2 linked regions of the Oreochromis niloticus genome follow. The protein of the gene in region 2 interacts with the protein of the main gene of each other region in a pairwise test. Links are inferred from orthologs where the notes say so. Each region holds a gene or a part of one and is shown on either strand. Other genes may lie near its edges.

The links.
Region 1: the proteins of ercc6l2 (region 2) and si:ch211-127m7.2 interact in binary tests that used the Homo sapiens proteins (3 or more experiments, as listed by UniProt). The two-hybrid records come from large-scale screens. The link is inferred for Oreochromis niloticus from reciprocal best matches to the Homo sapiens genes ERCC6L2 and CYREN.

The regions. Positions count from the first base shown.
Region 1 is NC_031972.2:55,543,690-55,559,284, forward strand, and holds si:ch211-127m7.2 (cell cycle regulator of non-homologous end joining), read right to left. Parts: upstream 4,953-15,595; 5' UTR 4,790-4,952; coding exon 4,692-4,789; intron 4,617-4,691; exon of another isoform or gene 4,594-4,616; coding exon 4,491-4,593; intron 4,296-4,490; coding exon 3,975-4,295; 3' UTR 3,558-3,974; downstream 1-3,557. Other genes in the region: fibrous sheath CABYR-binding protein, read right to left, coding at 1-801; neto2b (neuropilin and tolloid-like protein 2), read left to right, coding at 12,554-12,593, 15,390-15,479. UniProt on the Homo sapiens protein: Cell-cycle-specific regulator of classical non-homologous end joining (NHEJ) of DNA double-strand break (DSB) repair, which can act both as an activator or inhibitor of NHEJ, depending on the cell cycle phase.
Region 2 is NC_031977.2:22,936,500-22,952,767, reverse strand, and holds the start of ercc6l2 (DNA excision repair protein ERCC-6-like 2), read right to left. Parts: upstream 8,192-16,268; 5' UTR 7,910-8,191; coding exon 7,882-7,909; intron 7,544-7,881; coding exon 7,116-7,543; intron 7,000-7,115; coding exon 6,883-6,999; intron 6,723-6,882; coding exon 6,529-6,722; intron 6,335-6,528; coding exon 6,241-6,334; intron 6,063-6,240; coding exon 5,995-6,062; intron 4,574-5,994; coding exon 4,366-4,573; intron 4,228-4,365; coding exon 4,087-4,227; intron 3,704-4,086; coding exon 3,587-3,703; intron 3,502-3,586; coding exon 3,382-3,501; intron 3,302-3,381; coding exon 3,230-3,301; intron 1,558-3,229; coding exon 1,412-1,557; intron 1,321-1,411; coding exon 1,225-1,320; intron 1,030-1,224; coding exon 930-1,029; intron 809-929; coding exon 656-808; intron 20-655; coding exon 1-19. UniProt on the Homo sapiens protein: Promotes double-strand break (DSB) end-joining and facilitates programmed recombination by controlling how DNA ends are joined in a spatially oriented manner during repair.

The sequences.
Region 1 (15,595 bases), on a different chromosome or scaffold from region 2:
GACATCTCTTGGAATGAGGTCACTGACAAGGTCATTTCCTCTCAGCTCCGAGTTCTTTGGGGTTTCACTAACGCTTTCCTCATTGACATCACTTCCAAGCTTCTCCAAACTCTCTTCAGCCTCCACCTCCATCGGCTTTTCCAGATGTGCTTCTGTTGGCTTCTCTGGCTCAAGCGTGGAATTGTCAGCAGCCTCATCACCATCTTGGCGTTCCTCACCTGCTGGGAGGTCTAATGGCTCGTCTGGATTGACTGGGACAGGGTTGGGATCTTGGGAGGGCACGAAATCAGGGGGACCAGAGTCGGTCAAAGGGGGCGAAGAAAGAACCAGTTCATGGAGAGACTCTTGTGTTAGTTGATCCGCCTGGTTCTCCAGATGCTCCACTGAGGCTGGTGCTGGCTCTGAGATGGGCTGGACTATCTCAATGTCTGGTTCGGAGTCAGGAGCAAGCTCAGCTTCAGCAGCTGGTTCTGAAGGTGAAGGTGTGCTGGCTGAGACCTGAGGTTCAGGTTGGACTGGGGCTTCCTTTACCACAGGTGCTGGTTCTGTATCATTTTTCAGGGCTGAGGCACTGGAAGCCTCTGCTTCTTTAAACTCCGCAACACATTCTTCATTAGGTAAACACGCCACTGGTGTCACTGGCTCTCCCACCACCACATCTAAATCCTCCGTTTTGGCGGCTTCGTGAGTCTCTGTTACTGCAGAGTCGTTTCCTGGCTCCTTTGTGGTGTTCTCTTCAGCAGCCACAGTTTCATGGGTGCTGGCTGGGGTTTCTCGCCTTCTGCTGAGCCTGTTTCCCATAATGAGCCTGTACAGAAAGTCAAAATAAATGTAAATGGATTTAAACTAATGCCAAGAGAGACGCTTATTTGACTGGTGGAAATGAAATTTGTGTGTTTTAGTACATTATGTTCTTCTTTGCACTGTGTGCTCTACTTTTTCTGAGATGTCTAAATATGTTTCTGGAGCGCCCAAGGACCAACTAAAGCTGTTGACTAAAGCACTTGTTTGATTAATTCTTTACTTCCCTTACCCTGACATACACAAGCCGACCACAAAAAACACTCTGGACACATCATGACGTGTGCAATCACAACTTTTGGCCACTTCATAGACTTTCACTAAACATCCCCTTACTTTAAAAGGTCAATTAAAGTCTGCAGATTCATTGTTGTTTTGTCTTTCTTAGATTCTATAAAATAATATGTTCCAGTCGCTTATGAAAACGAAGCATAACTCACATAACTAGTATTATGCGCTACTAAAAGAATAAATTTAAAAAATGCGAGCATAAGTTAGCCAGTAAACATTAATACTTGGTGATCGCGAAATGAAAAACAAGTTTCGCAGACGACCCCGCCTCCCTATCGCGGTGCTCAGACTGTTAAATTGTATCCAAATAGTAGAGGACCAAAAACACTGGTTAAAATGTCTAGGAGGATAATAGCATTTCACCAACCTTTGTACTTTTGGCGTTGCAGCAGGCCTAGATAAATATATAAATTTGCTGATGATCCCGCTTGTGGAGGAGACTGCTTGTTAAACCGCTCGAAGTGCGCACAGCAGAGAGGAGCTGAGCCCTGCACAGACTGCTGAGGCGCACATTCTCCGCGTCCACGGTGCGCGCTCCAGCGCACAACCACTGAACTTCCTGAACCAGATTGGCTTCGTTGCCCTTTCTCGGTTACTAAACGTAAGTAAACAACAACAAAAACGATAATAATAATAATAATAATAATTAAAGGATCTGCCTTACTCAGTCAAACTAGACATTCTGCCATTAAACTAGGCATGTTCACTGTCAAAGTTTTAAATGGAAACCACTAAATCGTGTGTTATTAAAGCCCTGGGCAGTTGTAGATTTCCTTTTAGAAAGCTTATGCATTAGTTGTTCAGTATAGTCATGATGACAGGAACATGAATACAGTTATATGACATAAGGCCTTCATATTGGGGAAGTAAACGTGCTGATCGGCTGACTGAGGCTGAACACAAAACCACTGACACATGTACTGTAACATCAGTGTGTTCTTATGCTGCAAGACAGTCAAACGTCTTTAGGATCTGTGGTACTTTGAGCTTCTCTTTTCTGCTCTGATATATATCATTCTCGTGCTTAGTTTGCAGAATGTTTGTTTTGATTCATCGCATGACTCTTTATTTAATCTACAGATTAGTGAGGATGTGGCCTGAGCAGAGAGTCCGATGTGCTGTGAGGAGTCCCTTGTGTCACATTCGTGGGATCTTTCTGCTTCTCCTGCTTGTCATGGTTCAGATGATGATCTCCTTGGTGCCTTTTGATGGTGTGTTCATTCACTCCGATAAAGTCCTCATCAGCCCCTACAGATTCTGTCAGATCCAACAAACTGGTGAATGGTCCTGTGATAATGTGCATAAGAGTCACCTGTACGAGCTATCGCAATCCCAAGGAGCTGAAGCTGAGACTTTATCTAAGCCACATTCTAACTCTGTCAGAGTAGCGGTTTACCTAGCTGTGTATTTTCCAGTGATTATTGTGGCGTTTGCCCTGATGGGCATGCATTCAGTCATCTCTGACAATGACGAACCTGCTATCTTTTGCAGCACAACTTTCCAGGTCGGAGCAGGCTTGCTCAGCCTGGCTGGCCTTTGTAGTTTTTTGTTTGTCTATCAGTCATATGTGAGCTGGCAAAACATAACCATTTGGTTCTATATCTATTTGGGTGTGGTGATGGAGCTGGCTATCACATCTGCACTGACCCATGTGTCAGGTAAGCGACTGAGATCACACTGGGAACGCAGCGAAATGCTTAAGCTCATCCCTGCTTAAATGCAAACATGAGCCACAGACTGTGCAGTTTAAAAAAGCGATTATGATCATATCACAAAGACCTTTGAGTGGTCCGTAAAAGTAGAAAAGTGCTATATTAATGCAATTACACACGAATCTGCTTTGGAGAATATGTTAATTGCTGTCATGATGTATTTAATGATAAGCTGTATCCCTCAACATGTTTAACGTGTCTTTTGGTGCTGTAATATCACTTTGTATCACTTTATCAAGTGGTTTATGAAAGCCAAGACACATAATGTATAACACAACAAAAAATCTGTTGAGTCTGAAATGTGCAGCTGGTGGATGCGTGAGTGGTACCCTAATTGTGCTGATAGCTATTTCTATATAAGCTATGAGGAATAAAGAATATATTTATTTTTCAAAGTGTGTTCTTATATCTGCTACCTCATATATTCAAGGAGCAACAGTAATGTGATTTCTGTAACTACAATTTCTAGTTACTTCACATGAATAACAGTATGCTTTAATTACACCCAGTTTAATGCAAAAGCAAGGCTTTTTTCAAGTTTCTCCCCACAGAGCAAGGGCACTTGTACTGCAACAGTACCATGCTCAGGGTACTAGCAGCAACTTGTTAGGTCTTCTGGTGGAAACATTTCTAACACCAAACCTTTGTGGTGAAAAACCCACAACTGCTGTCAGTTTCATATACAGTGTCATGCATGTGAAAACAAAAACCGTTGTGTTTTTTTTTCCTCATTAAAACCTTCAGTAAACCTAAAAAAATGCCATGTTGTCAATTTTATGTTGAATTAGAGTTTGGACCCAAGTGACAAAAAAACAAACACAACACTTAAGTAACTGTCACACTGTAAGATAAGTAGTTCCCCTCACACGAGGTGCTAGATGATACCAATGAAACATAGACTGAAGCGCTGAAATTTGATTTCAGTGCAGAAGCTTTGGTGAATTAATTACTTGTCTCCGTATGTAGTCCTGTGAAGCGCTGCTGGGATGTACCTCTCTGAGACATCAATTAATGGATCCGTTCTCCAAACTTTTTCTTTATGGATGAGCTGTGAGCTATGTGTCCTCAAGTACTGACTGGACTCTCACCTGAATTCGTAATTTAGGAAGCATTCCCCCAACTGACACTTTTCAGTTTAATGCAAAAACTTTTTAGTGTCAAATAAGTTAATCAGCTGAAAAAAATTTCCCGTACAAGGCGTAAGGCATCGCTGTCCTCTGCTGCTGTCTGCGGTGGTTCATTCGTCTTCCCAGCCTCCACATTCTCAACTGTTCCTGAACGCTGACCCTCAGGTGTTTGTTGCTGCGGGCTGCTGGTGTACAGTAATGTTTCCACCTCTGTAATGTCCAAGTCTGTTTCTGAAACATACGTCATGTCCAGATCTTCAGTGCAGTCTGATGGGGACTCCTCTGCAGCAACTGGATTTGCTGTCAGCTGTGAATTTGTGGATTTCCCCATCTTCTTAACTGTGTCCACTGCTTTTTGTTTACCCTGGGTGTGGGTGAAGGGAAGATCAAGCAAATATTAAACGACGGTTAAGAGAGTAACCCACATGTGATGATTAAGAGTTTAACTGCATACAGTAATATTGGATATAATGGACTGTGATGTTAAAACATCATTATATTACTTATATAGGGCATGTGGGGGAGGAAATCAAATGTTTGAAAAGAGAAACAGCACCACCTGCTGGCGAGTCACGAGTGTCAGGTCCTCACATGAGCCGTTTGTGAAATAGGAAACAGCTGCTTCTACCAGCTCTTGCTCGTTCATACAGTAGAAAGCAGACCTGGGAACATATCAGTGGATTGGGTAAGTTTAAAAAAAATTAAGGAGCTTTAAATGGGGCCTTAAACCGACCCCGATCGTGTTTCTTACGATAACTACCTGGCAGCTTTCCGCTTTCTCTTCAGTGGCTTCTTTTCTTGGCTTTTCTCCTCTTTTTTTGCCATCCATGAAGGCAGCGACCTGTGTCTTCCTGACATACCGCTCTCTTTACGTACGCAGCTTTACAACGCTTCCAAAGTCTGCCGCAACATCACGTGAAATGAAACGAGGCTAACCTTACTGTTTACAACACGGTTTGCACGAGCTCTGGTGCCGCTGACAACCCTAAAACAACCAATCACAGCAGAGCGTAACCGTGATGTCACGAGCTGACAGAGTTGCTAGCGACACTTAGCGGACAAGGATGTAATGGCACCATACAGCCACGACAACAAAGGATTAGCAAACGGCATTTTTTTTTTAGCGATTCAGACTTTATTGTCCGTTAGATGGCGGTAGAGCGCTACTTTTTTTTTTATTTTTCATCTAACGCCTGTAAGAAATCTAACCCCCACCTTCACCCACCACGCCCTTTGAGCTTAAAACTTTCTAGATTTGCTTTTTATTTCAGCACTCATGAATGAAGACATTATGTAATCTCACTGTCTGTCCCAGAGATACAATATCTGAAAGGACCTTGAGAAAATTTCTTTGACTTCAAGATTCAAAAGTCACAGTGAACTCACAGAACACGTGTTTTCCCATACTTTAGGATCAACAAAAATTCAAGTAAGACAAAATCGTGACATCATAACACTTATTTCAAAAAGGTTAAAGGCAAACTTCCCAGTAGCATCATATGATACTAACATTTTTTGCCCAACCTGAGTGGTGGGCAGAGGCATGAAAACCACAAGGTAAATTTTCAGTTTGAGGGTAAGTAGCCAGTGTTTGTACAGTATCTTCCATATTTTCCTTTCTTCCCCCTTATCTGACATTAATATTTTGGTACATGGTGCACTGTATTGTCAAAACTGATCTTGACACAGATTAAGCTGTTGTTCTTACTACTGAATCTGTTTTGAAAAAGGGTGAGAGTAAACCTGCTCTCATCTGTGAAAAGCACACGGCACCAGTACTGGTCCTGCCCACTAGAAGGCGTTCGGCCATGACCCCATGCTCATGAATGTTTCTGATTGCTTGGTCAGAGACATTCACACTAGTGGCCTGCTGGAGGTCATTTTGTTGCTCTGGCAGTGCTCTGGAGCAGATACTGGTCATGCTCATGACTTATAGATCTTCTACAGCTCTGTCCAGGTCTCTTAGAATAACTGTCTGTCTCCTGGAATCTCCTCTACGCTCTTGAGACTGTACTGAAAGGCACAGCAAACCTTCTGGCAATGGTACATATTGATCCTGGCAGGGTTGGTCTGCCTGTGCAACCTCTGTAGAGAGTAGTGACACTGACCCTAACCAACCAACCAACCAACCAACCAAACAAACATACAGTCAGCTTAGGAGGAGGAAAAACACATCACTGGCCTCCACCTTTAAAACCATTCCAGTTCTTTTGTTTTTGTTTTTGAGGAGTATAAATAAGTGAATCTACAAATAACTTAAAAAAATAATAAAACAATTCTAAAAGTGGTAGAGAAGAATGTGAACACTATTACGAATAAAACAATAAAAACATCAGTAAAAATAAACATCAGGAAAACATCATTAGCCAGTACTTAATCAATAAGAAATGTAGCTTAGCTGTTTCCACTTCAGTTTATGGTAAGTGGATGGCACTGATAGCAGACTGAGTTTGAAAGCTTACAGACGCACTTCAAAAATGCACCACTATCACTGAAAACCGTTAGTCTAGTGGCACATTTCTGTTAATGATCCTCGTGCTCCTCCAGTTAATACACAAATGCATGGGTCCAAATGTTAAATTATGTGTTCTAAAAAATGCACAGTTATATACAGTACACACAAAATCTCTGCAAATCTCTTTCTCTTTCCATATCATTGCACACTTACTTGTGCTCACATATGCTTGCTTTATTTTGCTGGAAGTAATCAGGATCAAAAGTACTGTTAGTGTGATTAAAAGAGTGTTATAAGTCTGGTCTAATCTAATTTCCAATCTCTTGCCCAGGACTTTCTATTGTCTCAGCTCTTCTGCAGATTCAAGCACAAAAAAGCAGACGTAGGGCGATCGTGGCTCAAGAGTTGGGAGTTCGCCTTGTAATCGGAAGGTTGCCGGTTCGAGCCCCGGCTCGGACAGTCTCGGTCGTTGTGTCCTTGGGCAAGACACTTCACCCGTTGCCTACTGGTGGTGGTCAGAGGGCCCGGTGGCGCCAGTGTCCGGCAGCCTCGCCTCTGTCAGTGCGCCCCAGGGTGGCTGTGGCTACAACTTAGCTTGCCATTACCAGTGTGTGAATGTGTGTGTGAATGGGTGAATGACTGGATATGTAAAGCGCTTTGGGGTCCTTAGGGACTAGAAAGCGCTATATAAATACAGGCCATTTACGTAAGCTAAAACAATAAATAAAATAATAGTAATCTTTATAAACCAGTACCACTTTCTGATTTGTGTCCTCCCACTTTAGAGATACAGTTAGATGCTTGTAGCTGTTAAAATGCAATCTGGACATGCTGGAGTGCTGATGACTTCTAGCCATGTGTGACTTGATCTTATGGGCCATCAGTAGATAATCTGTCCAGCTGCATGACACATTTCTTTCTCGCTCTTTCACTCTACTCCTTTCTCCTCCCTCTGTCCTTTTATCCTCTTCTTTAAATCACTGATGTTCTAAACAACCTTGTATCAGACTCTCACTTTCTGTCACTTTGTACACCAAAGCTGCCTTCTCTCACTCTGGCCTTTTAATTATGTCTCTAAAGCCCCTGCCTACAAGCGCTTAGGCTTTGATTACAAGGACCGGCTTTGTATGTTTGACTAAATTAAAAAGTGGAAAAAAGGGACACAAAAAGAAATCTCAAGGCAAACAGCATGTTAACAGCAAGATGTGTTCACAATGTAATTTTCCTTTAAGCTCTTAAGTTCATTGCATTTTAAGAAAAAAACAATAACCAGCAGCCTGAACTGGCAAGAAAAATCCTCAAAATCTACCACGATATTATTTTTATTTATTCTTACAGATGGCACTGAAAAGGGGCTCTTAACTAACAACAAACTGTATTAGTGACTCTAATTTGGAATAGCTTTTAAATCCACCAAGCATGAATTATGGGAAAAAAAGGCCACCGATAAAGCACGAGGGTTTCAGACAGCACTCTCACTGAGCTGCTTTCAATTTGTCACTTTTAAAACGCCTCACTAACCCTGTGCATGGTATTTACAACTTGTCATCATCATTAACTCAGTGGCATCACTGCAAAATCAAAAGAATCATATAAAAATGATTTAAACGTAAAGACACACGCATGCAAATCTGTGTAGACCCTAATATAGTATTGGACTCATCCTCCTCCAGGCTTGCTGCCACATCCACAGATCAGGCTGTGCTAAGAAGATTTCTGTTTGCCAATAGAGTAAATCTTGTCGCTGCTTTTCTAGCCTGCTGAATTTGTGGGTCAGACATGCCCAAAATGTGCTAAACTTGAATATCACCACCATGATTTCGTTAAACACTTTTTAAATGTCTTTTTCAGTAGTAACCCTCTTTTTTTAATTAATCACTTAATTTTTTGTAACATCTTCTTATATTAAATTTTCACACGGTAGATTTTTGTGAAGTCGAATCATTTTAAACAAACCTCTGGGGATGTCCTGTGATGTCTGGCACTGGGAGTTTGGAGTCAGTCAGACCGGGATCTGATGAGTTTTGAGGCTGCGTCATCATTGTGATCTCAGTCCTAGCTGTATGACGAGGTGCATTGTACTTTCAGAGTGCCATGGCGGGAGGTGGGCTGGATCTATAGCAATGTTTAGATGGCTGACACGTGTCAAAGTATCAGCCATACAAATGCCAAGAGTTAAGGTTTCCCAGCAACAAGGTGAACAGTGTTATTTACTTCACCTGTTGGTGGTTTTAAACTTGTGGCTCATCAGTGTAGAAGTGTAATTATATAATATCTGATTTTCCATAGGCTTGTCAATCACATGTTCTTCTTGCTCTAATTGGTATGAAGCAGAGTAATCTTATCGTAGTCTTCCTGAGATTAACCCTGATTTGAGTAAGGGTCATTGCCATTGGCCATCTGGCTCAGAAGCCCTCCTTGTGATTGGCCATATGGCTCCAGAGAGCAAGATTTATGAAGAGCAGAATGTTTAAATTGAATGAAAATTTTCCATTGAATGATCTTATCTGTTGGCACAGACACAACGCCTTCTCGCTATGGCATAGCTGTGAATTTGCAAATCTATACAGGACCATGAAAGAGTATGTTTGCAGGTCTGGCAATACTTAATGTAACATTTTTCTTTTTTTGTGTGCGTAGCAGAACACAAAGAAGAAAACCTGACACTTAAGGAAAAGCAGAGACAAGTTTTTATCTTTCAGGTCGCGTTTGGATGTTGCCACAAAACATAATGGAGCCAGTCATTCCCATTTTCCAAGTTCTGGATGTGTTTACGCGTCGGATGTGTGAATGCAGCCTTTCACTCTTTTTATTATTTGTGTTTATCTGCATATATGTATGTTTGATTGGAATTCATCATGACGTGGCTACGATGTGGTTTCCCACGTTAATCTGTAATTCCTTTTAACATTTTGACAGAAATGAAGGAAGAGTACTGACAACTTAAAAACACAAAACTGAGATTAAAGAGAAAAGGCTGTTTTTTGGTATATTTAGAACCAAAACTGATTTTATATGAATTTAGCCCTGTGATCTTCTAAAAGCTTAACCTATAGTTCTCTTTCCGACATTCTTTCTAATAGGGTCGTTTTTCTTGCCCTTCTTTCTTTCTCTAATCTGTTGTCATGTGGGCCTGAGATCAGTATAACGTTTAGTGTCAGCGCTTCGTGCTTCCTGATATCACATATGTCTAAATCTCTCTAGGAATGGGACATGTGTGTTCGCAGTCAATGGCTGGGTCTCCTGGGTCAACGTGACTTTGAACCTTAAGCTGGTTCTTATGTAACGCGTCATCTATGGGGATGATTAAACATCAGTTTACATTTCCGTGAAGATCAGGTTTTGGACTGACAGCTTTTAAATACCCCAAGAACAAAGAAAAGGAAAAGGTCAATTATGCCACAGGCCTGCTGATTAAAGATTTTTATGGCCCACACTAGAAGAGCAAGTTGGTCTCCTCGGCTGAGTGTAGGATTTAATGCCGCAGAGTGTGCGTGAGGGTGATTGGTTGTGACATAATCTACGGCTGTAACATCCAGTGCCCAAAGGCCGTAAAATCTCCAGAGCCAAAAAACCCCCCACTCTATGATGATAAATAAGGAGTTGCTGGGATGGAGTAATCCGTTGTTAAACTTGAGACTTGAAGGCTACTGTGCTGCTTCATCAGCAGTAATAGGCCAAATCCATTGGGATTTCCTGTCAATCACAGGCTCGTGGTGGGATCTTAATAACTTTCCCTTGGAAGCTGATAAAACTGCCTTTTTCTTTTTTTTCGAAATTCATCAATCTGTTGTTTATCATGGTGACACGCAGACATGCAGCTCAAGGAAACAGTGGCATAGATTCAAAGCAAGTCCAGGCAGCGTGTTTCTGTGGCAGTATTGTGCTTGGAAAGGGTTAAAGATCCACTGGAACTGCTTTACCCTGTTGTTACATGTTCCTGTTGAATTCCATGAAACGTCCTTGTGTGTAATGCATGACCTTAAAGATGAACCTGTCCATGATAGCTCATTCAGATTAATAAAACTGCAAAATTGTGCATGGGCTTGTGCCTTTTCATAATGAGAAAAGAAAGGCTAAAATGAGCTAAAGTTGATTTCACCAACTCACCTGGCTCACTCATCCGTGTACTCTGCAAATTGAAGATGCTAATTTCCTCTGTAATCACACGCTCATAAGAGCAATCACTTGCCTCGTTGAGACTCTAGTCAAAATGCTAATTAAAACTCACAGCCCTGCAAACGAACAATTTAGAATTCATTATCCTCTTTTGTGTGTCTTCTTCAGTTTTGCAGTTTTGCATCTAATTGTCAAAACACTGTGATGTTGCAAAAAATGTCAACATTCCAGCTGGACTTTATCTAATCTTACTCTACAGCTGTTCAGAGGGTGCTATGACTGTTGTCATGCTGTTCAGTCCACATGGAATATAGATATTCAGAGGTTGCACAGGCAAACCAACTCCACTAGGATCAATATGTACCACGGTCTCCCAGCACATTGTCTGTCTGCCTGAGCCCTACAAAGACAACCTCCAGCAGGCCACTGGCATGAATGTTTCTGACTAAGCAATCAGAAGAAGACTTCATTAAGGTTGACCTGTGGGCCCGATATCCTCTAGTTGGGGACGTCAGGACCCCCATTGGTATTTGCCATATTTGCCAGAATTGGCAGGTCCATAACTGCTGCCGTGTGCTTTTCACAGATGAGAACAGGTTCACCCTGAACACATGTGACAGCTGTGAAATGGTCTGGAGAAGCTGTGGAGAACATTGTACTGCTAAAGGAATCGATACCATTGACTGGTCTCCGCGTTTGCCCGGCCTAAATCCAACAGAACACCTCTGGGACATTATGTTTCGCTACGTCCGACACCACCAGGTTGCATCTCAAACTGTCCAGGAGCTCAGCGATGCCACAGCCCACATCTGGGAGGTGTTCCCCCAGGACACCATCTGTTGTCTCATTAGAAGCACTGATATTATCAGGCATGCATACAAGCACATGGGGGCCATACCAGCTACTGAGTAACATTTTTATTTGCTGTGAAATGGACTAGCCTGGTGCATCATTTTTTCACTTTCACTTTCAGGGTGTTTTTGAAATCATCTGTCTGTAGGTTGATCGTTTTCATTTTCATCAGTTTCTGTGGCGTCCTGTAATTCCTAACACATTCCATATCATTAAATATGCATTTTTTTTTCCTATTGACATGTGATGTTTTTAAAGTATTCCTTTATTTTTTTCAGCAGTGTACTAAAGAACAGATCCCTACTCTTTACAGGCATACAGGCTCCTTCCTTCCTTCCTTCCTTCCTTCCTTCCTTCCTTCCTAATGTTTTAAAAATAAGAAACACTTTGAAACAAGAAAAACATTCCAACTTGTGTTTTGTTCTACTTTTCTATTCAAAAAGTTCAAAGCAGGCCAATAAATTTCACCAACAGTTCTTTACTGACTGTCCCTGAGCTTTTTGTAATCTTCCTAGGCGGATGCCCATTTTTCATGGAATAGCAACTGTCTGAATATCCTAGTTTTGAGCATTTTGCATCCTCTTGTCCACTTCAGCGTGACAATGAGAACAAGATGTGATTGTGTTATCATAGAAAGTGTCTCAAAATGTGCTGTGAATAACAGAAGAAAACTTGTAAATACTATATTTGTTTTAAATAGTCTATTTCGTAAGCTCATTGATAAGTTAATGGAAGATGGAGCCCACACATGCACGGCCGGGTTAAGAATGATTTTATCGAGTAGAGAATCAGAAAGCTCTAAAAGCTGAGAAAAATTACAGAATTGTAGTAATGTGAAAGGAAATCAGAAAGATTGAGTATTACTGAAGTAATACTCAACATTACAGTAACTCACAGGGGAATAGAAATCAACAGTACTTCTGCTTGCTTTTCTCCTTCTGGAGCAGCAGCACACCTTTTGTTCCACTTTGATCCCCGTCTCTGTCAAACCCCCTTAAACCTCTGCTTTCTAGGTCTCTGATTACCTCAGAAGAAGCAGCCAAGACTAAAGTCTGGTTGCTATGGTAACTGATGTGGATTTGAATACCCTTGATGTGTGGTGAAAGTGTACCTGTATGTGTACTTGTTTGCATGTGTTTCAGTGAACGAGCAGCAGGCAGAGGACCAGAGGACTGGCTGTGAGTGTAACAGCAGGTATGCGTGGACACTTTGAGTTCAGACTTCACACGGCTCAGGGTGAGGTGGAGTTTAAGCACTCTTTCTCAACCGAACATGCGCCGATAATAAATGATTCACGCAACACCGAGACAACACCTTCACTTTATAATCAGTCAAAGGGGAAAGTGTTGTTTTCAAACACAAGCCCAGAGGATGCAGCTTTGTGAAAGTCCACATGTTGTGTGAGCGAGCGTTTATCTCCTGCTGACTTTCTTACCCACCTATTAAATAAGTATGGTCTTTGGCTTTGGTTTGTGTTGCTCTGTGGTTTGAGGCGTGTTTGTGAGGCGTGTCGGCGTGTTTTTAATCTGTTGTAGATTAGCTTTCTAATCTCTGCTACCTAGACTTTGGAATAGTCTCCTGCTGTTAAAAAGCATTTATTATTTAACAGCTTTCTGTTGAGATTCTTATTATTAGTAACTGATTGTGCTTTGTGACTTGTCTTGTGTCTGCAAAAGGCGCTTTACAAATAAACTTCACTTGCTTACTTTTTCTCAGTTTAAAGATTTGATAGGTTTTCTATGGGCTACTGTGGAAAAGATACAGGTTAATAGGATTTGCGGATCACTGAGTTCTTTTTTTATTCATGTCTTATACAGCATCTCACCTTTTTTTGTGATTTTTTTGTGATTGGGTTTGTATAGTACTTGAAACTGAGGCTTTTTTGTACTATTAACTTTGTACCATAATAGTTTTCCCACATGATTAAAAAAGCTAAAATTACATTAATTCAGCTTGAATGTTATTAAATAAGCAATATTGATCCAATGATTAAATACATATTAAAAACTTATACTTTTATATGTTATTACTTATAACAAGTAGAAGTACTTTAAACTGTTGATAGTAATTATATTTTTACTTAAAGAAATTTCCCTGTAGCTTCTGAAGGAAAGTCTGAGGAATATCCTCCAGTATCAGATTAAAAGTATTCATAAATGGTATAACAACTTAATATATTCAGATTTGTCTGCTTCTTTGATTGGTTGTAAACATGCATTGAATGTGAAAAACAAGTAGAATAGGGAGGTTTTGATACAACTGATCAACTGAAGGGAGAACTGGCAAATGTCCCACTTTTTGTGACGAGCTTCTGATTTAAAGCAAGTACATTCACCTATAAAATACAGTACAAATCCTCCAGTGGATGTGGTGAGTAGTTTTTAGTATTTTTGTCCTAAAAGCTAACACATCAAAGGAAAATCTCTATCCCACCTACACTTGGCTTCCATTTCCATCTCTCTCCGGCTCTATAGCCAGCTTTTTGGGGCTTTAGGTGATGAGTGTCCTTGGTGAAAAATGAGAAGGCTAGAGCCAATGTGTCCATGCTCTCTGCTCTGAATAGGAATTCACAGCAATGCACCGACAGACTTATGCTCAGTGGGCTTTTTGGCACGGTCCCTCCGCCGTGTGTGTGCGTGTGTGTGTGCGCGCGCGCGCGACTGTCTGTCTGTCTGGGAGAATGAGTGCGGCGGCCAGTATCAGCTAATTAAAATTTGAAAAATGGGAAATCCCAATTTATTTAATCCCCATGCCAAACGGGCGATTGGAGGTTTATCATATCACCAATACTCATAACTGATGATGCACATGCGCAATCATCTTTCCCCTCCAGTCTAGCGCCAACTGAGCTCAATCTTTAAACCGCGAGCAGCTGCAGACTGATCATCCGTTTGTTTGAGGCTGAGTCTCATACACCGAGCTGGGCAGGAAAACTGTGCAAACAGACAGATGACGAATCAGAAGTTCATCTGCTCTTTTTCGCACCTGAGCCGCTCTCAGTTTGACCAACACGACTAGGATGGAAAGGTGAAAGTTCGGATTTTCTAAATCAGTAGTTTTAATGTGCGGTAATCCGTACTACTGACATAAACAGGGGATGTGAGGGACAAGTTTGAAAACAGAAAAACTCATGAAAAGGAGCTCAGCGGCGAGGATGTACGCAGGTAAGAGAAATCATCCATATTTTTGCACTTTAGAGCAGATCGCGTAATTTCTTTACTCAAATGTCTGAGGGAAAAAAGAGAGAGTTGTTAAAAACTCAAGTCTGGTTTATAGGGGTTTTTTCTTGGCTGTTTTCTGACATGTTTGTGCAGTTACTTTGTGCACAAAAACCCGGAATATATGACGCAAGGGACTCTGTACACTACGTTTTTGTCTTTGTTTTGAAAGTTTCTCTTGTGTATCGATTCGTGGTGCTGAAGTAACAGCTCCACACACTTGCTCGGTGCACAGTTACTCTAAAAAGTAAGAAAAAAAATAAGCAACACGGATTTTTCTTTAAAAAAAAATCAAAGTAGGAAATCCGTTTTCCCCCCTTTGCGTCAGCGTTTGGTGGCTCAGTGCCTGGGCAAGAGGAGGATTTGGGCTACTGTTGCTGCCTCTGTTCCTCCTCAGCACCCACTTAATATGTTCTCAGAGGAAGGGCTGCAAGTAAATTTAACATGCAGCATTATGGCAGTCAGCCACACATCTTATTTACCTTATTGTACAACAGTAATGAATTGAAAACAGAGTCAAAAGTTATAAATCTGCCTTTTTCCCAGGTCACAAGCTGTGACAGGCAGAACATGCAGCACGAACGTCCACAGCCTATATCATAACTGCCATTTTATGTTTTGCTTTTTGTCCCTGGATGTGCAGCAACATGCCAACATGCCACTTTGGTGAAAACTCAAAGCAAGTTCTAAGCAGACTGGTGCCCCTGGGCAAGATGATTTATTTGGGTCACATTTTATGTAATAGGTACAAATGTGGTGCAAGATATGATTTCTTGAAACTTTTTTTTCTTTTTTTATACATATTTACCATTAGATGTCCTTGAACAGCTTCTTGGCAGACAGCAGTCCTGCCTCTCACCCAGCATAAATCTTGGCGGAAAAAAAAGAGGATGCAAAGATAAGAGTAAGAGTTAAGGAAGCAGATGGTAGAAGCAGCTTGTTCTCTCGCTCCCAAGCTTTGAACCCCACACCCTTGCCTTATATATGCATTCAGGGATTCTGCTGAGTGTACTGAAACAT
Region 2 (16,268 bases):
CCTCCACTTGCCCTTCTCTCTGAGAGGAATTCATCAAAACAAACATTTCAGTGAACGGCATCAACTTGGTTTTGTCACAATCATCAGCACAACAAGATCTTTCACTTTTGATATTTAGTATAACACTGTGAAGGACAGGTTAGGGCTTCCGCAGGATACCATTTTTGTAACTTTATGTTTAAGCATATCTTTAACTTGAAATGTATAGGGAATCCTATTTGGGCAATATCCTGCTTTTTAAAAACACAATATGCAAGCTAGAGTACTGTGAAACTGCAGGATTTCTGAATCCTGCCAACCACCCTTGCTGAAGCAGCTTCAGCCATTTATTTTAACAACACCTGAATTCAAAGATTAAGAAGTGTAGTGCATTTATTATGTAGATGGAAATATGTACACCCAGTTTTCTCTGTGCTCCGAGATGATGAAACCAGGACAGTCATACCAACCTAGTGTAGTTTAACTCTTGATATTGAGTGGGAAATCAAAGCAAGTGTTAAATGCCTCTAAAGGCCCAAGACAAGAAACACTAAAAGTCATTTTGGTTTGTGAAACCCTGGATTGCGACTGTGGAAATAAATCAGTGGGATGATGCGAGTCCAGGCAGGCAGCAGAACACACAGTCAAACAGTAAAAGGTCTGTCGGCTATCTAACCTCTAAAATCTTGCGGGTGAGACAGGTCCCTTGAGTTTGCAGCCTAAATAGGTTTTTGATCCCAAACAGTTCATCCTTATGGTCACCATGCCCCCGCACTGCTTCGAAATACCGCCGGGAGCTCTCCTTGCCAACTACAGAGGAGTGCAATTGCTGGAACATGGGAGAGAATGTGGAAATGCAGCATCTAATTCATATACTATAGCTTCATCTGTATACACAGTAATTACATTGCAGATTACATTATGTCTATGAGTTCACAGTAGTCTGGTACCTGTTTGTAAATTTGTCGCAGGTATATGACCTCTTCCACAGTTCCCAGTGAGATCAGCCTAAGAACAGTCACATCCCTGCACTGGCCAATGCGATACGCCCTGAGGACATGTATGAAAAGACACAAAGTATGATGCTTTTCAACAGCACAAAGTGGTGCAATAACACCAAACATTTCTGCCTTGACTTTGGATGCAGTATGCAACAGTTAGGAATTACCAGAATATTGTTAGGTTAGCTAAAGAGCTGCAGCAAAATACTGCTATGAAATAATATCTAGTCAGGTGGCAACCTACCTGTCAATAGCCTGAAGGTCATTGGCTGGGTTCCAGGTGGGGTCAAACAGCACCACAACATTAGCACCAACAAAGTTAAGACCAAGACCACCTGCCCTAATAGAAAAGACACATATTAGTAGGTTTCAATACAAAATACCACCTAGGATAAAATTAATTGTTACAAGTGTTGTTATTTCCAACTGACATGGTGGAAACCAGGCAGAGGTTGATGTGAGAGGAGCTGTTAAAGTCTCTGACGATCTGGACTCGCTCTTTGGATTTGGTGGATCCGTCCAGCCTGCTGAAGTCCAGCCCCACAGCCATGCAGTAGCTCTCCAGCACATCTAATAACTAAAAGATTCAATACACAATAAATGACCATTTAGGATTTCATTAATCAGTAGATTTGTATAGAAAATAGAAGCTACATGTGTAAACTGAAGCAGCACATCTAAAAATATCTGCTGGACTTCAGTCTTTACAGCTTATACTTACAGCTCTACAGTGAGGCTAAACACAGAGCACTACACTGGCCTGTATGGACACCATGATTAGCATTAAAGCAAAACTAAGGTCATGAAAATATGACTTCATATCATGTTTCCTCCCTTCTGCACATTCTGCCTGCATCCCACGCCCACATCAAAAATTAAGTACTTTAAGTTTTGATGTGAAGACTGTGAGAAAAAGAAACTTAGCCTCAAGGTTATAACTAACTAAAACTAATATAAACCCTAAAAAAGAGTGTGAAAGTGTTGTTAACTAAAATGAAAACAAAACAGAATTTTTAAAACAACCTAACTGAGATAACACAACAATACTTAACATAACAATATTACTTTTAGACTTAAGCCTATGTGACCGTGTATTATCAGACTGCTCTGCACTTTAATCTCACCTACATGATAATGACAACAAATCTAAAACTATTAAAAATTCAACGAGTAAACCCACTCTGAAACTAATTCCAGAATTATAGCAGACGCAGCAGCATTTCAACAGAACCTCACAAAGACGCCTGATGTAATCCTGGAGAGAGTGAAATTAAACTGAACAGAAAGCAAAAACTATAATAACTGCTGATTGATATACCTGAAGCTTAAATGAGCTATACTGTATCAGGTGACTACAACCATTAGACTGCAGTCTCAGTCTAATTGTCTTCACCACAAACTTATAAATAAACATGATGTAATGAGAAAACCACATCCTATAAGCAATTCATTTAACAGAAGAAGCGATTAGCCGGGTTCAGGCTGCTCCTTTGTTCAATTTAATTTTATTTGCATAGCACCAATTCACAACAACAGTTGCCTCAAAGTACTTTGTATTGTAAGGTGAAAACCCTACAATATTAGAAAGAAACCCCAACAATTGCACAACCCCCTATAAGCAAGCACATTGCAACAGTGGGAAGGAAAAACTCTCTTTTAACGGAAAGATTTAGAACTGGTTTCTCAGGATCACTCTGAGACATGATGATATTTTGCAAATGAAGGAAGGGAGTCCTATATTTGCACATGCATATGTGTTTAATATGCATACAGAAGGACATATCCTGGTCACAAAGAACTCCAAGACTTCTCATAGTGTTACTTAAGGTCACGTTAATGCCATCCAGAATATCCGGTTAGACACCATGTTTCCAAGATTTTTAGGATCAAGTACAAAAACCTCAGTTTTGGAAGTAGGAAATTAGAGGTAATCCAGGTCTTTAAGAAATGCCAGTAATTTAACTGGTAGATTTGTATCATCTGGCTTCATGAAAAAATAAAGCTGGGTATCATCGGCATAGCAATGAAACTGCACAGAGTGCTTTTTAATAACACCGCCTAAGGAAAATATGTATAATGTAAAAAGACCCTGTTGAACTCTAGAAGAAAACTCCTGATTTACATGAACAAATTGGAATCTATCAAAATAGATATGACTCAGTATTTAATTCACTCCTTGCACAACATATAAACCTTCAATCACACATCCAAAGTCACAGAAACACAAAAAATGCAAACGCAGCTCTCACCTTGGTTGAGAGAGAAAAAATAAGCACTTTATCTCTCTTTTGTAGATAAAATTTGAGAAGCTTCTGCAGCACCTAAAAGAAAGCATAAACCTGTTAACCCCCTTTAGAAACCGCCAGTGAAGAGATCACACACAGCTGTTTTCGTGCTTTACCTTCATTTTTCCACTGTACATTGGGTCTGACAGGGCTTCAAATGCTTCATTTTTGCATCTATGCACAAATTCCGGAAACTTCTGGAATACCTTTGCACAAACAGCACTCACATACTTTTCCTAAAAATAAGTAGAAAAGTCATTTTAATGAACCAAATCTTGAGAGAATCTATCCAAAATCATGTGCAAAGAAACACAACTCTACCTGTTTCTTGCTGGTGCCTGGAGTAGACTGAAGGAGTGCTACATGGTTCGCAACCTTTCTCAATATGGCCAGGTAACTAAAGTACAGCTCCTTCATATGAACACCATCAGTGTTTGTCTATGATAGAAGGAAAATATTATTTAATGTAAGAGACAAAGCATCTTTTTGTTGATTTTTATACATGTGATTTTTATGCAAAAGCATAAAGTTTCCTTTCTGTTTTAATGGGATCTATTACTTGGTGTATTCTAGCAGACTATAATGAAGTTTAAAACAGTTACTTAATGAAAAAAAAGATCAGGCACCTTCACAAAGACACTTTATATAGACTGCAGTTAAAATAAATTGTGATATTTTGATGTGATACGTTAAAGTGGGCAAAATAAAATGTAAACAAACAAACAAAATATCCAATAAAAGTGAGTTTGGTCTCAACATATAGAATCAAGTTGTGCTCGGTAAATTGCAGGGACACACGATAGCAGAAGAGAAAAACGAACTTTATAGCAGCAGCTTCTGCGGGTGCGTCTGCTGTGACAGTCACATTTTTCTGATGACCTTAGGAGTAATGTCACATCTTCACTGTCGAGCACTGCCTGATACACTGTCTGCTGAAACTCTGTCATAGAGCAATACACCACCTTGGACGAAACACAACACATACATAAGCAATTTCCAAAAAAGAGAAGGTAATTAAGTCAAATAAATTTGATTGAATTAAAAAAAATGTAATGACAGTAAATGATAAAAGTGTTGGTCACTCTGACATCTAGTCTTACCCGGTCGTCCTTCTTGGGCAGCTGTTCTTTGATAATAGCTTTAGTCCTTCTGAAGAACCAATGAGAAATCTTCCTCACCAGGGCTCTGACGGCCTTCCTCCCTGTAGCGAGAGCACGTTTGGTTGCGCTGTGCCTCTGCCCTTGCTCAATTGGATCTGAAAACTTGTTCTTGAAGTGGCCTAAGCTATCAAGACAACCTGGTATAGCCCTAAAGAGAAAAGTAAACATAAATCTGAATCCCTGCATAGAAGTTAAATAAAAACATAATGCAATTCATTAAATTTAACTGAAAATGGGGCAAAGTCTACATATTAAAGTAAGATTTTTAAAATGTGCTAATTGTTGAAGAGCTCCATCACATCTATGATGGACTGATGTAAAGCATTAAACGGTTCCTGTTAATGATGAGACCAGAGGCAAGCATTTGTGGAGGTATTAGTGCCCATCTCTGCACATTGATGGGACCATTGATGTTGAACAGTCACAGATGTTTTTCAGGGAAGGCTTATTTCAGCAGCATGATGCCAACCTACATTCTGTTTGCATTAAGGGAATCCAGGTGCTAAAATGGTCTAGTTAAAAATGCCTTCTTTAGGCTGCTCTTTTTAGGTGTCACCACAGTTGAGCATCTAACTACATCTCACGCTGTAACTAGCATGCTGCTCTCCAACACCAACCCTCTGCATGTCCTCCTTCACTACATGTATGAATCTTCTCTGTGGTCCTCTTCTCAACCTCCTACCTGGAAGGTGCACATTCAGCATCCTTTGTCCAATATATACATTATCCCTGCTCTGGATGTTCGAAACATCTCAATCTTCCAACTTTGTCTCGAAACCGCTCAACCTAAGCTAAAATATCTTAACGTCTTCAGATCTGCCACCTCCAGCTGTACCTCCTGTGGTCATTAGTGGTGTCATCTCCAAATAAGCACACAGCAGGTCTCAAAACCATCTTGTAAACCTTACTTTCACACTTGCTGCAACATTTCGGGAACACATCACCCTTTACACTCATCTCCACCCTCTCCACCCTGCCAGCACTCGCTTCTTCACTGTTGTGAACTATCCATTGCTTTGAATGGTTGATCCCAGGTATTTAAATTAATGCACGCCACTACTGCTGCTCTTTGCCTGTCTGCCTGCTCACTACCCTCACTACAGATTGCAATGCCATCTACAAACGTTATAGTCCACAGAGACTTTTGCCTGACCTCATCTGTCAACCTGTCCATTACCATCACAAATAACAAAGAGCTCAGAGCTGATCCGTGATGTAATCCCACTTCCAGCTTGAACTCACATTTCACTGGTGTCCTCGTACATGTCCTGCACCAACCTCATAGTTTTCTCTGCCACTCCTGATTTCCTCATGCAGTACCACAGTCCCTCTCTTGGCAGCCTATCATGGCCCATTAAAAACACTGCAAATTATGAAACAATAAAAACAACAGAGGAGGCCAAGAAATGTTGAGCAACTGAAATCCTACAGTGGTCAAACACTTGCTGAGGGCTGTAAAAAGAAAGGGTAAAGTGAAATAGCCTCCCATATCTCAACATGTTCCCGACTTGCACTGCTTTATGCCTCGCACAGTTTTTAAAAGATAAGAAGGTTGTAATTTTAACCCACCAATCCAAAACACACCACAGCTCCTCCAGGTTGTTCTGTAAGATGGTTCCAGTGAGACCAATTCTGACCTAATGGAAATACAAAGTTAGAATCCTGACTCAAAGTTGAGCTTGCTAAAAAGTTTAGAAATTAATGTGTAGAGCCTCAAATACAAATACACTTTCCACTATCAGATATTTGACACAGACTCATTAGTAGTCCATACTAAATACGAGAATTCTGAAATAACAACACAAGCTCTCTAACCTTACATCTTAGCTCCTTCATGGCCTGAGTGATCTGAGAGTCTGGATTTTTTATCTTGTGGGCCTCATCCACAACCACAGCAGACCAGTCAATCCTGTAGGGAAGAGGCAAAGGTATAATCTAGGGCATAAATAGATAGGGCAAATTTATTTACGGCACAAAATTGATCTAAAATGCAACTAAGGTGCCTTAAAAATAAATAAAAACCAAAATAAACCATTTCTTAAGGAGCCTAATTTATAAATAGTACTAAATGTACTATACATGTTTTTTAGGCGTGGGTCTTACTTATTAAACTGATCCAGGCAGAGACGAAGAGTTTCATAGGTAGTGAGGGCAATTTCAACTCGCCCCTTCCTAATGCGGGCCAACTCCTCCTCTTTCCTCAGTCCGTGGACCACCACACACTGGAAGTGACCCCATGTGTCCAGCTCATCTTTCCAGTTATAAAGCACTGACAGCGGGGCCACAATAAGGAACACCTTAAACAGAAATGTCGTAGAAATGTCAAAATTGTGACTGTGATATTTCACTGCTGTCACTTGTTGCACTTGGTCAAATACATAGTGTGTGTATTTTTCTTGAAAATTCTGTTAAAACACAGGTCACATTTCTATGTAAGCAAGCTTAAAAAAAACCTACTTTGCTGGGATTACTTTGCTTAGATGACTGCTGACTCTGCAGAAACTGGGGCCTGTTGTTTGCAATGTCCTCCCATGTGCCTGTTTTGTGCAATACAGCAGCCAGAAAACCAATGACCTAAGGTAAGATCCAAGAGACGACAACAACGAAAAGGAAGAGAGCCACAGGAAGCCAAATTAAAAACAAACACTGGCACTTTAACAGTTCTCACAACAAAATAATGTGCTTTGTACCTGTACAGTCTTTCCCAGGCCCATGTCATCTCCCAGGATGCAACCTCTGGAACGGATGTAGTTATTGTAAATGAACCTGATACCTTCCCGCTGGTAATCTCTAAGGTATCTATTGATGGTATAGGGAACTCGGTCTTCATGAGCATCACTCAGCTCTAACGGGACACATAACCTGGGGTCTATCAGGCTGGTAGGAAACCAAGGTTTCTCCTGCATGAAGTCCCTCAAACCAGGTCTCATAAGTTTTGAGATAGGTATGGCTTCCGCCTCTTGTTCTTCCTCTCCCACATCTTTATTAGTGTCTTTAAATAACACCCATGCTGTATCTTCATTAAGAGAGCTGGAGGTCAGTTTCTGGATAGTGGCTTCTCTCAGGACACCATGTCTTGGGTGTAGAGCCAGACAACTGTCACCTTCACGCCATTCTGCTGCAAAATCATGGTGACATTATATTTATTAATGATGTAGATGTATTAAAGAATTTCACATTAACTCCAGTCATTAAAATGAGTGCAAATTTAACCTTGGACAAATATAACACTGGCTATAACATATAACAATAATCTTCGCAAATACTCTTTAAGAAATGGGTCAAAAAAAGGAAAGAAATTTCTTTACAGGAGGGAACATTTACCACCAACTGCTAAAATATGGCTAATCACTAATTTGTGAAAGTAAAACTGAACGTAAAAGCTACTTGATAGAAATATAAACATTAGCTACGGAGAAAACAGACAGAATAGGAAGAAAAACAGAACAAAAATACCTTTTCCGACTGCAGAAGTTGAAGCCATCAGGAGGAAACAGAGACTGCACTCTCTGATCTTCTTCCGGTAGAGGAAAATGCACTGTAGCTTGTTAGCCTGCTAGATTAGCTCAGCCATCATATACAAAAAAGGAAAATGGTTAAATAGGAACGAAAAACCTATCTGTGTGAGTCACGTAATTCCGAGTAAGTCGCTCATACTTTCTCCTCTTCCAAGAGTCCTTTATTTGGGGAAAAGGCACAACAGGCTCACAGCAGGATCAGCTCCACTGCAGGCTGCCTAGTGTTTATCTGTTTTCACAATCGATACCGCACTTTCGACAAATTTCACCGACGAATCTAAATTTAATAAATGTAAATATAAAAATGTCGTTTGTGCAGCTTTGTTGATTTGATTTAAATAATATATTAAACATTGTCTGGTTTAATGATTCGCTCTATTTCATCTCTTTAACCATGCGTCTCTCTTGTGTGGAAAGTGCTGTGTGAGTCTAAGGTGGCTTAGGTGGAAGAGCGGGTGGTCTACCTATCTGCCAATCAGAAGGTTGGCAGCTCAATCCCTGGTTCCCTCAGTCCATCCTGTGCATTGATACTGAACCCAGAGTTGCCTCTGATGTATCTGTGTGGTGTGTGTGAATGAATGGTACAGTAGATAAAAGTTCTGTATGAATATGTGTGTGATTGAGACTTGAAGTTGTAGGTGCTCAAATTGATAACAAAGGTTTTATGTACAGTAAGTACATCCTGCAAAGTGCAGAGGACTTTCATTTAACCCAGTGGTCAGCCCACCCAGCTTCTCATGTGAAAGGACCTTTAGACTGGTAAACTGTCCAGGGTGTACCTTGCCTCTCACCCTGTGATAGCTGGAATAGGTTCCAGTCCTGAATTGGCTAAGTGAAAAAAAAAAAACATAGTAAATGGACTAAGACTTTACTCTCACTTGGCTCCACTTGAGTGAGGATGTGTTTGTCCACAGATGGTTACTGATCATTTGTTGGCCTTATGCATTGAGAACCTACATATTAGCAGTGGAGCTGGTTGTAGATTTTCTGTAAGAAACCCCCCCAAAACAGCAGAGTTTGTACTTCCTGACAGTGATGAAAAGTTTAACCTGCCAAAGAGGATAATGATGCACTTTCTCCATCTCTGCCTGGTACCCTGCTGGCATGATCATTGACAAAAGCAGATGGTGGCATATAATATGTTCTCCTAAGAAGGCAATTGCTGCCTCCAGTTTCTACATGACCAGTACACCTGCAGTATCTGCTGGCAGCCAAAAAACCTTGTAGCTGAGCCCTCTTAAATCAGATGCAGACTTTTTGTACATGTACATGCCTTCTTGAGCAGGGGGAACTTCCATACGCTGCAAAATTTTAATCCATTATAGCAGGGGTGACAAACATAAGGCCAGGCGGTCAGAATCAGTCTGTAAAAGGATGCAATACAGCCCCCTGGATGGCTTTGGAAAATGTTAAGGAGGGCATAAATTTTGGACTTATTTTTTAACTGTACTGATAAAGAACTTCCCCATGGCTATTTATACTACACCAAATTAATAAATAATAGTTAAATATTTAAAAAAAACAGAACAGTCTAATATAGAAATTTACAGTGAAACAATTAATTATATAATTATTATAAGTTAACTAAATAAAAATACATTCAGTGAAATAAACAAAAAATCCCTTTTTCTGTCATTTAACACATTTATTTCTTACAACTTAATCCCAAAGAGTTGTAGTGAATGATTTACTACAGAAGCATTTCTTTATCGTGTACAAAAACTGAGACATACTGTTGAAATTGTACTTCTTTTCTTATGTTAGGATATCTCATAACTAAATGTCTCAGGATTAACCTTCTTTACACTGAGGGAAAGGAGAGTTTCACTGGTCTGGACTTAAAGTAGGCTGTATGCAGCAAATGATGTAAAATGAGTTTTACATCCCTGCATTACAGTGTAGTGTGTTACCAGTGGTGTTGTTGGTGACTGTGGTCACGACTGCCATCAGATCATTAACAAACTCCTCCCATGTAGTTTTGGGATGATCCTCATCCTGTCATGATTATCCTCACCCCGTGAGGTAAGATCTCAGGGAGGGGGTGTCCATCTGCCATGACTGGCTGGGGCTAAGTGGATGAAGACAGCACAAAGACATGCTCTGAAATAGAGCCATAGATTAATGATAAGTAATAGTTAAATGCAGAGAGGTCTATAAACACATAGTGAAGTGACTGAAGAAGAAACAATCAATGCATCATGGAAATCCCGGAGCAGCTTAGACCTATTGCAGTGTAACTAAGTGAGGCCTCGGGGTCACCTGATCCAACCCTAACTATATGCTTTAGCAAAAAGGAAAGTTTTAAGTCTAATCTTAAAAGTAGAGATGGTGTATATCTCCCAAATCCAAATTGGAAGCTGGTTCCACCTAAGAGGGGCCTGAAAGCTGAAGGCTCTGCCTCCCATTCTGCTTTTAAATACTCTAGGAACAACAATTAAGCCTGCAGTCTGAGAGCGAAGTGCTCTAATGGGGTGATAAAAGGTCATTAAGATAAGATGGGGCCTGATTATTTAAGATCTGTTATGTGAGGAGCAGGTTTTTAAATGAGATTTAAAATTGGATTTAACAGGCAGCAAGTGAAGAGAAGCCAATTTAGGAGAAATATGCTCTCTCTATCTAGTCCCTGTCAGTACTCATGCTGCAGAGATTCTGGATAAGATGAAGGCTTTTCAGGGTGTTTTTAGTACATCTTGATAATAGTAAATTACAATAGTCCAGGCTAGAAGGAATAAATGCATAACTAGTTTTTCAGCGTCACTCTGAGCCGGGATGATTCGATATACAGGTTGAGATCAGGAGTATCTGTGATTGATTGATTGGCTGATTGCAATCATGGCACACAGCCAATCTGTGGGAACAATAATTCTGGCTGAGTTTTAGGGATGGGACTTATTTCCCTCAATGACATGCAAATCAGTTTGTAACTTTTATGTAAAGTGTTGTTTTTTTCTGGATTTCTCCCTCCACTAAAATCAATCTTCTTCACTCACCTTTTCACTCACTCTGTGTTTATACACCACTCTGGATTTAATCATTAGTTATTATTATTCATTATTGGCTTTCTTCCACAGCATGTCAGCATGCCTCTTCTCCATAACCCCAACCAGTTACAAAAGACGGAAGCCCTTTCCCGAGTATGGTTCTGCCAGAGGTTTCTTCCTGTTAAAAGGAAGTTTTTCCTTCCCACTGTCACTCTGTATTATTGTGGGGTCTTTACCTTACAATATAAATTGCCCCAAAGTAACTATTGTTGTGATTTGGCACCTTATAAAAAAAACTGAATTGAATTGAATTGTCAGCATTTTTCACAAGTCTGAAAAGTCCCAAAAATCTGCCAAGAAGCCAGAAGCATTTGAATGAGTGTATGTTTAATTTAGCACTGAGTGTGTCTGCTAATAATGTGCTAATAATGTGAAATTCTGATTGCCTATGGGATTTGTTAAACAGATATGTCTATGGGGCTAGTTGAAACTTTAACATTTAGATATCACAGGCACTGAAGACATTCTTAAATAGGAAACAACAACATTGTCACATCAGCCAATATTTCCCATTAAATGCCAGAATACCACACAGATTTGGTCTGTTGAAAAGTAAAACCAAGACAGATGTCTTGCCTGTTGTCTGAGGCTGATATGGTGGCAATCAGTAAGATCTCTTCAAGGTTGTCTGTTGCTGTGCAGAACCGGCTTGTAAACATACACCAACATTATCTCAGTTCTCCATCCCCAATTTGATTTTCCCAAAACGCCGGCCATGCTGCTCCAGATGAGGCACGACTGGGTCCGCTTCTTGCCATGGTACACTGCTATACAAAAATGGAACTTTTTGTTCCTGCTTTCTCAACATTGGGAATTTATAGGGCAGCTGCTGCAGATGTTCTCATAAAGAAAGCCCAAACACTGATGTCAAACGGTTTACATACTCCACTACATCTCACACACACTTGTTCTCTCACTAAATCACAAGGACCTTTTCTGGCCCCGTTAGAAATTCACGACTCAGACAGATAGAGTTGAGATAAATAGATTACTGGCTTCTGGCAAAACCTTCTCATTTTCAAAATTGACTAATTGACTTCTTTGAGATATTGTGCCAAGTGCTGGATATTGATTTTTCATTTCTGAAATCAGTTGATGGTTTTCAAACTTAGCTTCTTCTTGATCAAATTGGAGGAGAAAAAAGATGTATTTTATTTTATCACTGCTCTTTTTTATGTTGGAAAAACTTGATAGAGAGCTAGAATTTATAGCAGCCTTCTTGGGAGCCTACCTGCCTTCAAGAAAGCCCATGTTGTCTCTGCTCGCCTTTCAGCTTGAGCCAGCTCTATAGCCAGACAAACTCTAACTTGAATATGGGTCCTGATTTCTGAACTGCCAAAAAAAGAGAAGATGGAAGTGGTCAGATCCAGCACTAAAATAAAAATAATAAAAATGTGAAAATAAATAGTGGCAAGTGAAACAGTGTGCATAGATTATTCATTCAGGTGTGCAGAGATATTAACTCATTGTAGCCACCCATAAAAATGTATCTTTATCTGGTGCATAAATGTACATTTATCGGCTACTGTTGTACTATTTTTTGTGTTTATATCATTATGGAAAAAATGCAACACCAAAAGTTGTGATTATAAATCTCTCATACATTATACATCACCCAATAAACCAAACTATAGTAAAATTCCGAATCTATCTAGCTGATCTAGAAGATATTTACTTATGTATGAGAAGTAACATGCATGGTGGTATTTTTGGTCTACTGCAGTGATCTCTCCTGAAATGTGACTAAATAGAAACTAAACTAAATAGAAAAAAAATTCAATTTTGCAAAAGTACACTTAAGTAAAAGTGCAACGAGTTAGTTTTCACTTCTGTTAAGTAATGACTTTGTGTATAACATTCTTGCTATCTCAGCTTTGTGCTTTCTTGAGATGAATATTTAACATTTTAACATTTTAATCTCTAAAAAAAAGAAAGGAAATATGTTCTAATTTATTCTAATTAGGTCAGAGTGTTGCATTCTCTTGCATTCATGGTGAAATTTCCCCACTGGCTTTCCTAAGAACCTACCTGTATTGACTTAAGAACATGCACTTTTGTGGACGAGGTGTTTCCTGCAGCAGTAGCTTTAATCTCAGTCGGATTTATTTGCTTCAGTTGAGGTTTGATTTGAATAAAACAGCGTTGGACCAGACATGGGTGAAACTTCTGTCGTACGTTGTAATCAGCGCCTAGAAAGACCTGAATGGAAGTCTTGTCCTGCGCTCGGGAGCTTCGGAAACACTCCTGTGTTCCACGTCCTCTCTCTCATGAGTCAGAAAGTCCGCTATGAGCCAAAAGCAATTACCACTGTGCCAAAAATGACAGTTTCAACTTCATAAGCACTGATTGCACAGACGGAAAATTAGGTTGATAATTCATGCTTTTCTCTTCGTCGTAGTTGTTTAATTCATCTGTTTAATTCATTCATGGTATAAGTGTGTCCTGCAAAAGCTGAAAATAGTTTAATTTAAATTAAGTAAGATGTCTAAGAGCAACATATCCACAAAGCTTTAATTAAATGAGTGTGGATTTTTAAAAAAGATGAACATTTCTGACATGTTTTTACTTTTTTTTGTACCAGTTGCATTGGTTTCATAGTAATGGTCTTTTGCTGCAGAGCTAATCTTTCTCTAACCATTCACGGTAGTATAATTCTAGGAAATGATCTTACTTTTATGAAAACTTTCTTTCAATTCCTCCAGTTGTCCATATGTACTGTTCAAATTAATGAAAAATATCAGGAACTCCCTGAGGTAATTTCTTTAAACTGGCCACAAAAGGATATTATACAGAGATTTTAGATGTGAATAGCTAACAAAACATCTTTCTGTCATAATTTTTTAATGCTCACTCTAATTTTGTACTACTACAAAATTTCACAGAAGTGAATCATTTTAATTCAATTCAGTTTTATTTATATAGCAGGAAACACAACAACAGTTACCTCAAGGCACTTAATATTGTAAGGTATAGACCCTACAATGATACAAAGAAAACAGAGAAAAACCCAGCAATCATATGATCCCCTTTGAGCAAGTGCTTTGGTGGCATTGGGAAGGAAAAACCTCCTTTTAACAGGAAGAAACCTCTGGCAGAACCAGGCTCAGGGAGGAGTCGCCATCTGGCATGACTAGCTGGGGTGAGGGGAGGAAGACAAAAAAATCATACATGTACAAATGGTCAAAGGAGAAACTTTACTGTGACAAATTTAATGTTCCGCAACCCCCCCGAAAAACTTCTTGGCCATTATTCAACACCATTACTCAATTATTAACATTTCATAATGTTCATACATTTGGCTGGATACAGATCTTGGGTTCCCACTCTGAACCTGTGGTGACTGTACAGATCTTTTGTCTATGTGCTATTCATTTTAAATATGAATACATGAATATAAACTTTATTTTGACCAGCGGAGGAGTTCTACAACTCCCAGGCAGTAATTGTAGTTTTGAATACAGTTAATAAGATAATTTGCATCACTGACTTCTGACGTGATTACATCCTTAGAGACTGCACCACTCCAAATCATAGGCAGTATGCAATTAAGACTGTCATCTATGTATTTATATTGTTTTAAAGATGCCAGGATGTCTCAGAATCACTTCAAATTGTGTTGTCACAGCTGCAATTTTTTGAAATCCACCCATTATCTTGTCATTGTCTCATTTATCATTATAAATGTAAGAGCTAGTCACTGTAAATAGTGTCCATTTAGCAAGGCTGGAGACAAAAGTGCTGTAGTTCTTTTTAATAAAGTTATATAAGGCTTGAATAAACTTTAAACATTATCCAGCACGTCTCATCCAAACTCCTTCTGCTCTCACACACTCGCTCCTCCAAAAACTGATAATTAACCTCCCTCTAAATGTCAGAGTGCTCTCAGGCCTGCGACCACACTGAAACGGTAAGAGGTAAATATACAAAACCACTTTTTGTCATTCTGATTTCATAAGTGGAGAATCCTTCAGCCTCTGTTGAGCAGTTTGGGGCCACAGACAGATGATGACGCAACGTATTCTGCTCAGCAAATTGATTTACAACGTAGAAGCCTCTAATGACCCGAATTTGATGGCTGGTCCCCTTTGTCCTGCAGTGAGATGGAAAACTCTGCAGAGCAACATATTTACAATCACACTGCCTCTCATTACACTGCAACCCCATAGAAGAGCCTTTTGTTTGTCCTCTTTGGCCACACTACCAGAAAGCCCATCAACCAGAAAGTATAACTGACTGTGGAGTCTGTTCATGTCTGTGTGTGTGTGTCCTTGTGCTTGTGTAGTTGGCATCTTGCTACAAAATTCTCCACAGGGCCTTAAAAAAAACAAAAAAACAGCTGATTAGATCGCTGACAACAAGAGTGTTAAACTGCAGGACAGAAACGCAATGGAAAGAGGGAAACGCGTCCGATTTCTGCCTGTGTTACTCCACTCTGGTAATAATCACACTCTTCCTGCCAGGCATATTGGGCAAGCATGGACTGTTTGATACTGAAATAAAATAACTGGACCCTAGACAATATTTTCCCCACTTCCACTCTTCTGAACCACCCCTAACCCAACACTGACTGCAAGTCAAAGAACTGCATGACTGCACGTCTCAACAATGAGGCCACACAAAAAGCACAGATTCAGCAGAACTGGATGTCCATTTCTCAGGCGTTTAAGCATGCAATTATGCTCCCCTTTGCTCCCCAATTCACAAACAGGATTAGGGGGGAGTACAACATGGTATCTGTAGTAGTTCACTAAGTGCAGAAGGATCTGTGGAGACACTGCTATCTTGATTGGCAGGATTTTAAAGTTGTTGCACGTGAAATACCTAAGGGCTTGCGTAGTTGTGAGATTTCATTTGCGTGAGAGCTGGCAGTTTCACGCATAGTTGTATTTTTATGTATCTTGTGTTAATGTACTGTGTTTTTGAGTTTTTGAATATCTGCATGTGTTTATATATTTGTATGGGTAGGCTGCGGGTAGGCCGTGCATCCATGCATCTAGTCCACACATATTCACCATATGGGGTCCAGAGGGGCTTTCAGGGCCAGGCCAGGCCAGGCTTATGGACCATTTAGCACACATTGCTTTCTCCTTCATGGCTACACTGCATTTCTCCTGATACACAAATCAGAGGTGGAAAACTTCACAGTGAATAGAGAAAGACTCCACAGAGAAAACAGGATCTAACGAGAAGGATATACAAATCTGTACTTATTGGAATACCAACACATTTTTCCATTTGCCTTTTATGCTGGTTCCTTGATACTTTGGGATATTCTCTATTTAAA